2 linked regions of the Mus musculus genome follow. The protein of the gene in region 2 binds, or shares a complex with, the protein of the main gene of each other region. Links are inferred from orthologs where the notes say so. Each region holds a gene or a part of one and is shown on either strand. Other genes may lie near its edges.

Region 1 (4,329 bases), on a different chromosome or scaffold from region 2:
GCAGTCGGGTGCTCTTACCCACTGAAAGAAATTAACCAAAAAAAAGATACAAATTATTTTCTTAACCATCAGTCCTCAAAGTTTCTCCACATGGATGTTATAAGTGCTGCTGGAAAGGAATTTATACTAAAAACTAAATAGGTATTCAAACCGGGCTTTTTAAAAATTAGATTTATTTTACTGTATGTGTGAAAGTTTTGCCTGTATATTGATCTCATACACGCCCTCGGAGGTCAAGGGAGGTTGTCCAGTCACCTGGGACTGGAGTCATAAGCGGTTGTGAGGCTTGAAACAAGGTGCTTGGAACCCAGTCCTCTACAAGAGCAATGAGTACTCTGACCAGCTGAACAATCCCTGCAGCCCCACGTGTCAGGTTCTCAGAAAAACGCATGCCACACCCTAGCCATAACTCTCGGCCTCTGGAAGGGTGATGAGCCATGAAGATTACTTTACCTAGTAAGCACTGACACGTGCTCTTTTCTAAGCTGGACAAAGAGTACTTGCTGAAATCACTACAACTCCTCAAACTCAGTCCTACTATCTTTGGCAGGAAAAGGGAGTGGGACAGACGAAGGACTGAACTCAGGGCTTCCCGGCAGTAACCACACCCCACTGAGCTATAGCTTAGTCCCAGGCCCCAACGCTTTATTCAAAGAATAAGCTCCCTGGGGCCAAGTATGTTTGGAGTTACTAGATTCTTACAGAGGACACATATATCCTGTGATTAACAACCCACACTAAAAACATTAATATTTTCTAGCAAACAGAAATTTAGTATCACACTACATGAGGCATATAAAAAAACTAAATAACCTAAGGATAGATTAGGACAGATTGGCCATCAACCAAGTTACCAACATATTTACATTTGGGTTTTGTTGGTTTTGAGATAGGTTCTTGCTATTTAGCTCAGGCTGGCCTGGAATTTATTATATAACCCAGGTTTGCCTTAAGCTCAAGATGAGCCTCCTGCCTCAGCCTCCAGGATGCCAGAACTACAGGTGTGTATCACTATACCCAGCAAGAACTTACATTTTCTTCTTCTTTTTGAGTCAGGACACCCCAGCATATCAGCCATGTGTACCTCAAACTATAGAGATCCACCTCCCAAGTGCTGGAATTAAAGGCTTGTACCATAACATCCAGGAAGAATTTACATTCTCCACTTTTACATTTGGAAACTGCTAAAAGGAGACTAGATCATTCCAACAAACCAGTAGGTCTGTCTCTTGTATTTGGTATGCCTGGATATAAATACTACCTGTCGAGCTGATGAGATGGCTCAGCAGGTTAAGAGCACTGACTGCTCTACCGAGGGTTCTGAGTTCAAATCCCAGCAACCACATGGTGGCTCACAAACACCTGTGCCCTCTTCTGGTGCGTCTAAACTCAGCTACAATGTACTCATGTATAATAATAAATAAATCTTTGGGCCTGAGTGAGCAGAGGTCCTAAAAATTCAATTCCCAACAACCACATGAAGGCTCACAACCATCTGTACAGCTACAGTGTACTCACATACATAAAATACATAAATTAATCTTTTAAAAAAATACTACCTGTCAACTCTGGTCATTGCAAGAGACATTAATGTAAATATTTAACTTGGAAAGCTTCCATGAAGAGTGATCTCTGCAGAAATATGAATACCAACCGTCTATCCATCCAAATATTTCATTCAAAAATCTGACCACAAGTAAATAGAGGCACAGAATGTCACTAAAAGGCAAACTTTAGGGTCATCTCAGCCAAAGACCCTGACACCCGTCCATGACCTATCAATTCTGCCTGGCTTAACCCTGAAAATCAGCTCTTTACTTATTTCCCACGTTAACGGCTTTCTTACAGTGTATACAATTTCAAGCAGAGACTGTATGAACTATGGTTCTTTGTGTTCTTCTCTCAACAGCGATAACCCTTTAAGCCAGTGATCACGCATACTTTTCGAATTCCTAGCAACTAGCACGTAACACTGCTCTTTGCATTTTACGACTGAACATATGGGGCAAATGTCATACAGTTCAACAAACATTTACTGACCAGGAAATGTCAAACTGAACAAATAGGTGGAAGACGGTGACTGAGACGCAACAGGCCTGCGAGCTATCCCTTGGGGGTGGGCGCTGGCTTTCTAACCACCCATCCTCGGCTTTGTTGTAATCCCCCCACCAGGAAAGGAAAGTGGTCTTCCCAACTCGCCTTTACAACACCTATCGCCATCTCTATCCGGAAGGGCGGGGCGTTGGTCGCCCCAATCCAGGCCTTGCTAAGCCGCACCCGCCACAAGAACAGACTGCAAAGCTGGGCCAATAAAGAGAAGGGAGAGCATTCGCCACAGCCAGTCGGAGAGCACCGGGGCCAGACCGAGACACCGCCCACGCACGCGGGGAGGTGACCGTTGGGCCCAAACAGGCGGCGTCACCATCCAATCAATACGCTTCTAGACATTTCCGCGACCAATTAACAAGAACGCCTCCGATCCGGGCAAGCAGAGGGCGGGAATAGTTACAGGCATAGGCCGAGGCCAGGGTCGGGCCCACATTTTTCTGTCTGGTACCGAGAGGAGACAGAGTAGCTAGGCTAGGTTCGGGGGACCAGAAAGTTGGAACCCAAGCACGACGAGGCGTGGCCAACCGCGTCACGTTACTCAATCGACTCCCCTTAGAAACCCGCCATCCCTTCTCTGCCATTTCTCACCTTCCTTCGCGGCATTGCCGGCGGCTGCAGCCCGACGGTTCCGATTCGGGCGGCGGCAGCACCAGCAGGAACGGGGGCTCCGGCGGGCTCCGTGGCGGCCTCTGTAGCTGTCCCAAACCCTGCGGACGATCCCAAGTGCCTCCTACCTCTCAGCGTCTAGAGCCTTCTGCGCAAGCGCCGCGGGCTGGAAGCGCCTATTCCTTAACTTCCGGCTGAGGCTTGCGTCACCTGACCTTTAGGCCAGTGAGGATCATGGGAAGCTCGAAACTCTTAGTGAGGCCAGTCAGCGCCATTTTGGAATTGGGCAGGAGACGGCACCAGTGGTGAAACCTTCGGCTAGACCTTTTTAGTTAGGTAGGCGGCATTCGTGTGGGATTAGGTAGCCATGATTGTTTGGGGCAGAAGTCTGGCAGTTGAAGGTAACCGTTTTCATCTTTACATTGGGCAAACTCTTCCTTCCTCGTCGTTTTAATTTGTGGCGTGGAGGGAGGAAAACCCCAGAATCCATCAGGTTGTCGATCTTTAACTCTTTCATTTCCTAGTCGGCCGAAGGACGTTTCCGTTCATTCTGTAAACTCCGAACTGGCAAGAGATATTTTGCCCAAGGAACTGCTGTAAGAGCTATTCCGTGTTCCGGAGTGGTGTGAATGGGGCTTGAATAAAGGATTGACAGGGTCGTTGTCGGTCTTGAAGTGGGGTAGAGTGTTCTCTTTATGCCTTGTCCTTGCGTTAAGAGAACAAGAAGTAAGTTATGAGATGATGCAGAGCCATTCTCAGGATGCCGGAGCGCCAAAGAATTTCCAGTTTATCTCTGTTGTGAAACGCCCCCGGCTTATCAGTGCTCTGCTTTGGTTTGAGATCTTTGGGTGGCCCGGAGAGGGGCGGAGGACGTGGTTTGAATGTGAGGGTGCTGTACCAAAAGTCGGAGAAGTGTTGAACCTCATTCAGCCCGTGTGACCTCTGTAGCACAAATGCAAGAGCCAAGAACTGAGTGGAGAGAGAAATAGTATTTTGAAAGACACTAGAAAGGGAGTGGGTATTCAAGTAATAATAAAAGGCCATAAGAAGAAGAAATTAAGACTAGAAGAAAGAGCTATACGAAAAGTCTGGAACCAGGTGGGGGGGTGGGGGTGGGGGTGCATGCTTTTTGAAGCAGGCAGATCCAAATCATGAGCTTACGGCCAGCCTGGTCTACATGGCCAGTTCCAGGCTAGATCCTGTCTCGAAAAAGAAAAGTCTGGAAAGTGGTTTGTAGGCCTTGAAGTTTTAGCCTCAGAGGACTTGAAAGAACCAAGGTGAACCAAGAGTGACTTGCTGGAATCAAAGCAACCTCAGTAATTACCAAGATAGAATTCTGGTTCCAGATTTGTGTGTGTGTGTGTGTGTGAGCTGAGCACGCACTCATGACCAGGTGAGTGCTCAGAGGACAACTTTGGGGAATAGATTCCTAACTTCCACCTTTGTGGTGTCTCTGGGATCAAACTCGGGTCATCCAGCTTGCTGAAAGAGCAAGTGCTTTTATCCCCTGAACCCCCACAGGCCCCTATCAGAATTTCCATTTGAGGCTGGCTAACCTGGAGAGAGGCTTTAAGAACAGAATACAAACCTGATTGACATGCTAAACAGAGGACT
Region 2 (4,349 bases):
ACATAAAAACCCAAAATACTTCTGGCCCAAAGCATTTGGGATAAGGAACAATCAACTTATAAACAGTGCAGAAATAGAAAAGAACAACAAAGATGCTGACTGCAAAGGACAACAGTTGAAGAGGTAAGACAGGAACCTATGTGGGAACGGGAGAGCAGAGCAGTGGTGGACACATGAAATCCCAGCACTTGGGAGGCAGAGGCTGGTGCATCTCTGAGTCCGAGGCCAGCCTGGGCTACAGAGCGAGTTTCAGGCCAGCCAGGGCTACAAGAGATAGGCTAGGGAGATGGCTCAGAGGCAATGAGAGCATACGGACACAAGCCTGAGTCCTCTAGGACCTCAAGGACCGCACTTAAAAGCCAAGTGTGGTAGGACGTGCTTCTGCGATTCCAGTGCACTTACTGGAGATGGGCGGCAGAAACTGGAAAATCCCAGCTAGCCTGGTATATACAGCAGTGAAGATGACAAGAGACTGCCTTTCAAATAAGGTGGAAGATGAGGTCTGAACCCAAGGCTGACCCTACAAGAAACTAACCCTGAATTAAAAGTATCAGCATTGCTCCTCCTTCCCAAATACGTGGAAGGCTATGGAAGGTGCACTGAGAGTTCAAGGCCAGCCTGGGCTACAGAGTAAGACCCTGTCTCAAAACAAACAAACACAAAAATTAGGCATGATAGTGGACACCTTTAATTCCAGCATTCCAGAGGTAGAGGCAAGTGGATCCGAGTTTGGGCCTGGCCTGGCCTACACAGCCAGTACATAGCAAGAACAAAACAAACAAAAAACAAAAAAAGGACCAGCACTCCTTCCAAGACACTGTGCAATGTTAACCCTCCAATATACAAGGTCCCTTCAGGGCCCTGTGACACCCCACGCCCGCTCCTGTCTCTCTCTGGTGAAAACCCAGCCCAGGCTATACCCACCTTCTGTTCTCTGGTCTAGCTCTCGCATCAGCTGGAAGTTCCTCTGAAGTTCACAGGGAAGGTTCTCAATGCCTGAAAGAGACAAGAAAGTTGCTATACTTCTCAATAAGACAAAAACCTGCCTCCATGGATGGGAGAGAGAGATGGCTCAGCTGTTAAGAGCACTTACTGCTCTACCAGTAATCTCAAGTTCAACTCTCACCCACAAAAAAGCTCACAGCCATCTGTAACTCTAGTTTGAGGGATCCAATGCCCTCTTTCTGTCCTTGGAGAGCATTGCATACATGTGGTACACAGACACACATGTAAAACACCCATATACATAAAATATACAGGGCCTTACACCAAAGCCTACAACAGCAGGCTTCATCTATTTCTGTCCTAGTTTGGGGACCAAATGATTAAGACTTTGTAGGGGCTGGAAGGTACCAAACAGTGAGCACAACAGGCTGACAGTTTCAGAAGTGCCAAAAGCTGGAGGATGCAGAAACCTGGCCCCCAGCAGACACAGGCCGGGAAGACAGCTCAGACTCCTCCCCTGAACCACACCCTCCCTCGCCTCTATGTCACACACAGTGAACTTCATCCTCCCAAACTCAAGCCAGAACCTTAGTCCTCCTTGATCTCTCCAACTTTGTCCAGATTCCTACAATGCCAGGAGCTGCAGACCATGTGGTCTCAAGACACTGTTCTCTCGGCAAGGCCCAACATACCAGTCTCTAGTCACACACTGCTATGAGCACTGGAAAGGCAGCCATTAGCACCGAGCAGGTCCCACTGTGCAGCTCACCAGTCCCTGCGGTTCAAGTGAGCTGGCTGGCAAACCAACCCATGTGGCTTTTCTGCCCCACACTGCATCCCCTAGTACAGATACACCTCAGTCCTTAAGTTTACAGCAGGCTCCAGCTGCCTCTCTGGGTCTTTCTGCACTCAAATATCTCCACAGCCAACAAGGCCAGCAATTTAGGGCTAAATTTTATAAAACTTGCTGTTCTAAGCCTATAACTTCCTGAGCTCACCAAGACATTCCTATCTACAGCTTGACTCCAGCGACCCTGTCAGCTACTTAACCTTCTACCCTCCAGTCGCCCTCTCTACTCTCAGATAGAGAGACCTTTATCAGCAGTTTCTGGATCTATATTTACCCCATGCCTTAATCTTGGGAGCTATATATATATATGTATATATATGTGCGTGTGTGTGTGTGTGTGTACCCCAACTAATCAGTGAGTTGTAGAGAAATAGGGCTCTTGCCAACGCATGGGTGGCACAGGGCAGGTGGAGAGAGCAGAAAGGGGCCATCACACAATGTCAGCAGTGAAATGAACTCTCCTTGAACCCTCCTCAGAATGCCCACTGGATGGACATCAGAATAAAGATAGTTCACCTTGGAGTCCCACTGCCCAGGCCCAAGGAGAAAATGGGCGCCCCACTGGCTTGATCTACCTCCCTCCAAAGGGTCTCAATTCTTCCACTATAGAGTGGGAAATAATCCTCCTCCGAGTTCTTGCTGGGAGCCAATCTCACGGTCTATAAATAAACGGAGTTGCCAATTTCTGGGATGTCAAAGGTCAACCCGTTATACAGAGCATCCTCCCTTACCGGGCTGGCTCGTGATAGCACGAGTTCCCTCGAAAAAGGCACCCCACTAGCCTAGAGTTCCTTCCTACAGCTCCACAAGCAAACACAGTGGCTTTGGCTCTACAGAGGGATTTGAGCACCACAAGCCGCAGGTGAAGAAGGGGCGGGCCTCCCCGCAACCTAGACCGAAGTAGAGAGGCGGGAACAGAGGCGTGGTCAGCGTCGGGGGTGTGGCCGAAGCGGAGAAGGCGGGCTGAGCCCCAGGCCACACCCCTCCGTGACGCACCTGGAATTGGCGCGGCGGAGGCGGCGGGACCCCGCGCCGCGCCCCACGCCCTCCATCTGCGGCCCCGCCCCAGACCCGCCGTGAGCCCCCACAGTCCCCATGATCAGTCCCCATCCTCCTCCGCATCCCGGAGCCTCGCACGGATCGCGGTGGGCCGGGGGCGGCGGCGGCGGCGCGAACCCGCGCGGGCGGCGGCTCGGCCAGAGTGCTTACTGTCCAGATAGTGCTCCAAGTACATGGCAGTCGCCATCTTCGCCTCGGCCACGCTCGGGGTCTGCGCGAGCGGGCGGTGCCGCGGACTCGGGGCGGGGCGGCGCCGCGCGCTCACTATTCATGAGCCGCGTGCTCCGATTGGCCGGAAAGTGGGCGGGGCAACTCAGGGGCCACCCCTAGGCTTCCGGCCGGCTGTGGTCGCCAGGCGGCGCTGTGGGGCTTGCCCTGAGGGAACGCGGATGGGCGATGTGCTCGGTTCGCAGTTTGCAATGTGGAAGCTCTGTCTCTGGCCCAGCCGGATTCCAAGCCCTGGCAGGGGACTCCGCTTGCACGTGTGCTGGCGCCAAACCTGCCAGCCGACACCTGCCGCTCTTCCCGCGTTGTTCAGACACCCGCTGCCTGTGGTTTCTCCTGGCTGACGGGGCCTCCCGGAAGGAGACCCCCTCACAGGCATCGGTTAACTTCCATGCTCTTTGTGGCTGTCTGGTCCCGAGGGGGGCGTGCCCACGCTGGACCTCGGTTGCTTTGACTCGCACTTCGTGAAGAAGCCACGCACCCCTCGATGCCTGCAAAAATACATTTTACATTCCTACGGCAACTCTGTTACAGTTAATGAAACAATATAACTAAAATCCAGGGTTTACCAGAGTCCACTCTTGGTGGGCTCTAATATTTCTGAGAAGTATTAAGTATCCCCCTTATAGCATCCTGAAGAATATTTTTCACTGCCTTTAATTCTTTTGGTCTATTACAATAGCGCGCGCACACACACACACGCATACTTGTAACCAATAAACGTTTTAGAGTCTCTGTAGTATTGCTTTGCTAACATGCCATGTAGTTGCATTTTACAGTACACAGTCTTTTCAGACTGGCTGCATTTATCATTATACAGTTCAGGTTCCTCCATGTCCTAGTAAGTAACTGATAATTCACTTTTTACTTCAAAATTATTTCACTGTGTAATTACCAGTTTATCAGTTTGCGTGTTGGAGGACATCTTAGCTGCTTCCATATTTAGGCAAATGTGGCTAGAGCTGATACAATCATTTGTGTGCAGACATAGTTTCCAACCCATTTGGGTAAATATTGACTTCATGTTAAAAGTAGAGTGCTTTCTTGAGAAACAGCCAAGCTATCTTCCACACCGTTTTTGCCTTCTCCTCTGCACTGACAGTCTCCTTCGCTCCACGTCCTCACCAGCATGATGAAGGGTTAGAATTGTAGATTTGGGCTATTCTCGAAGAGGTGAAATTATCTTAATTCATGATTCCTAACAATATGTTTGTGTTGCACATTTTTACATATGTGTCTGGCATCTGTGTCACTTCTTTGGGTGTTAGTT

Evidence for each region.
Region 1: Ing5 (region 2) and Kat7 share a complex: the UniProt entries of both Homo sapiens proteins name them as parts of the HBO1 complex. The link is inferred for Mus musculus from reciprocal best matches to the Homo sapiens genes ING5 and KAT7.

The regions. Positions count from the first base shown.
Region 1 is NC_000077.6:95,307,338-95,311,666, forward strand, and holds the start of Kat7 (histone acetyltransferase KAT7), read right to left. Parts: upstream 2,910-4,329; 5' UTR 2,713-2,909; coding exon 2,698-2,712; intron 2,362-2,697; exon of another isoform or gene 2,221-2,361; coding exon of another isoform or gene 2,200-2,220; exon of another isoform or gene 2,041-2,199; intron 1-2,040. UniProt on the Homo sapiens protein: Catalytic subunit of histone acetyltransferase HBO1 complexes, which specifically mediate acetylation of histone H3 at 'Lys-14' (H3K14ac), thereby regulating various processes, such as gene transcription, protein ubiquitination, immune regulation, stem cell pluripotent and self-renewal maintenance and embryonic development.
Region 2 is NC_000067.6:93,802,695-93,807,043, reverse strand, and holds the start of Ing5 (inhibitor of growth protein 5), read right to left. Parts: upstream 3,080-4,349; 5' UTR 3,042-3,079; coding exon 3,005-3,041; intron 997-3,004; coding exon 925-996; intron 1-924. UniProt on the Homo sapiens protein: Component of the HBO1 complex, which specifically mediates acetylation of histone H3 at 'Lys-14' (H3K14ac) and, to a lower extent, acetylation of histone H4. Component of the MOZ/MORF complex which has a histone H3 acetyltransferase activity.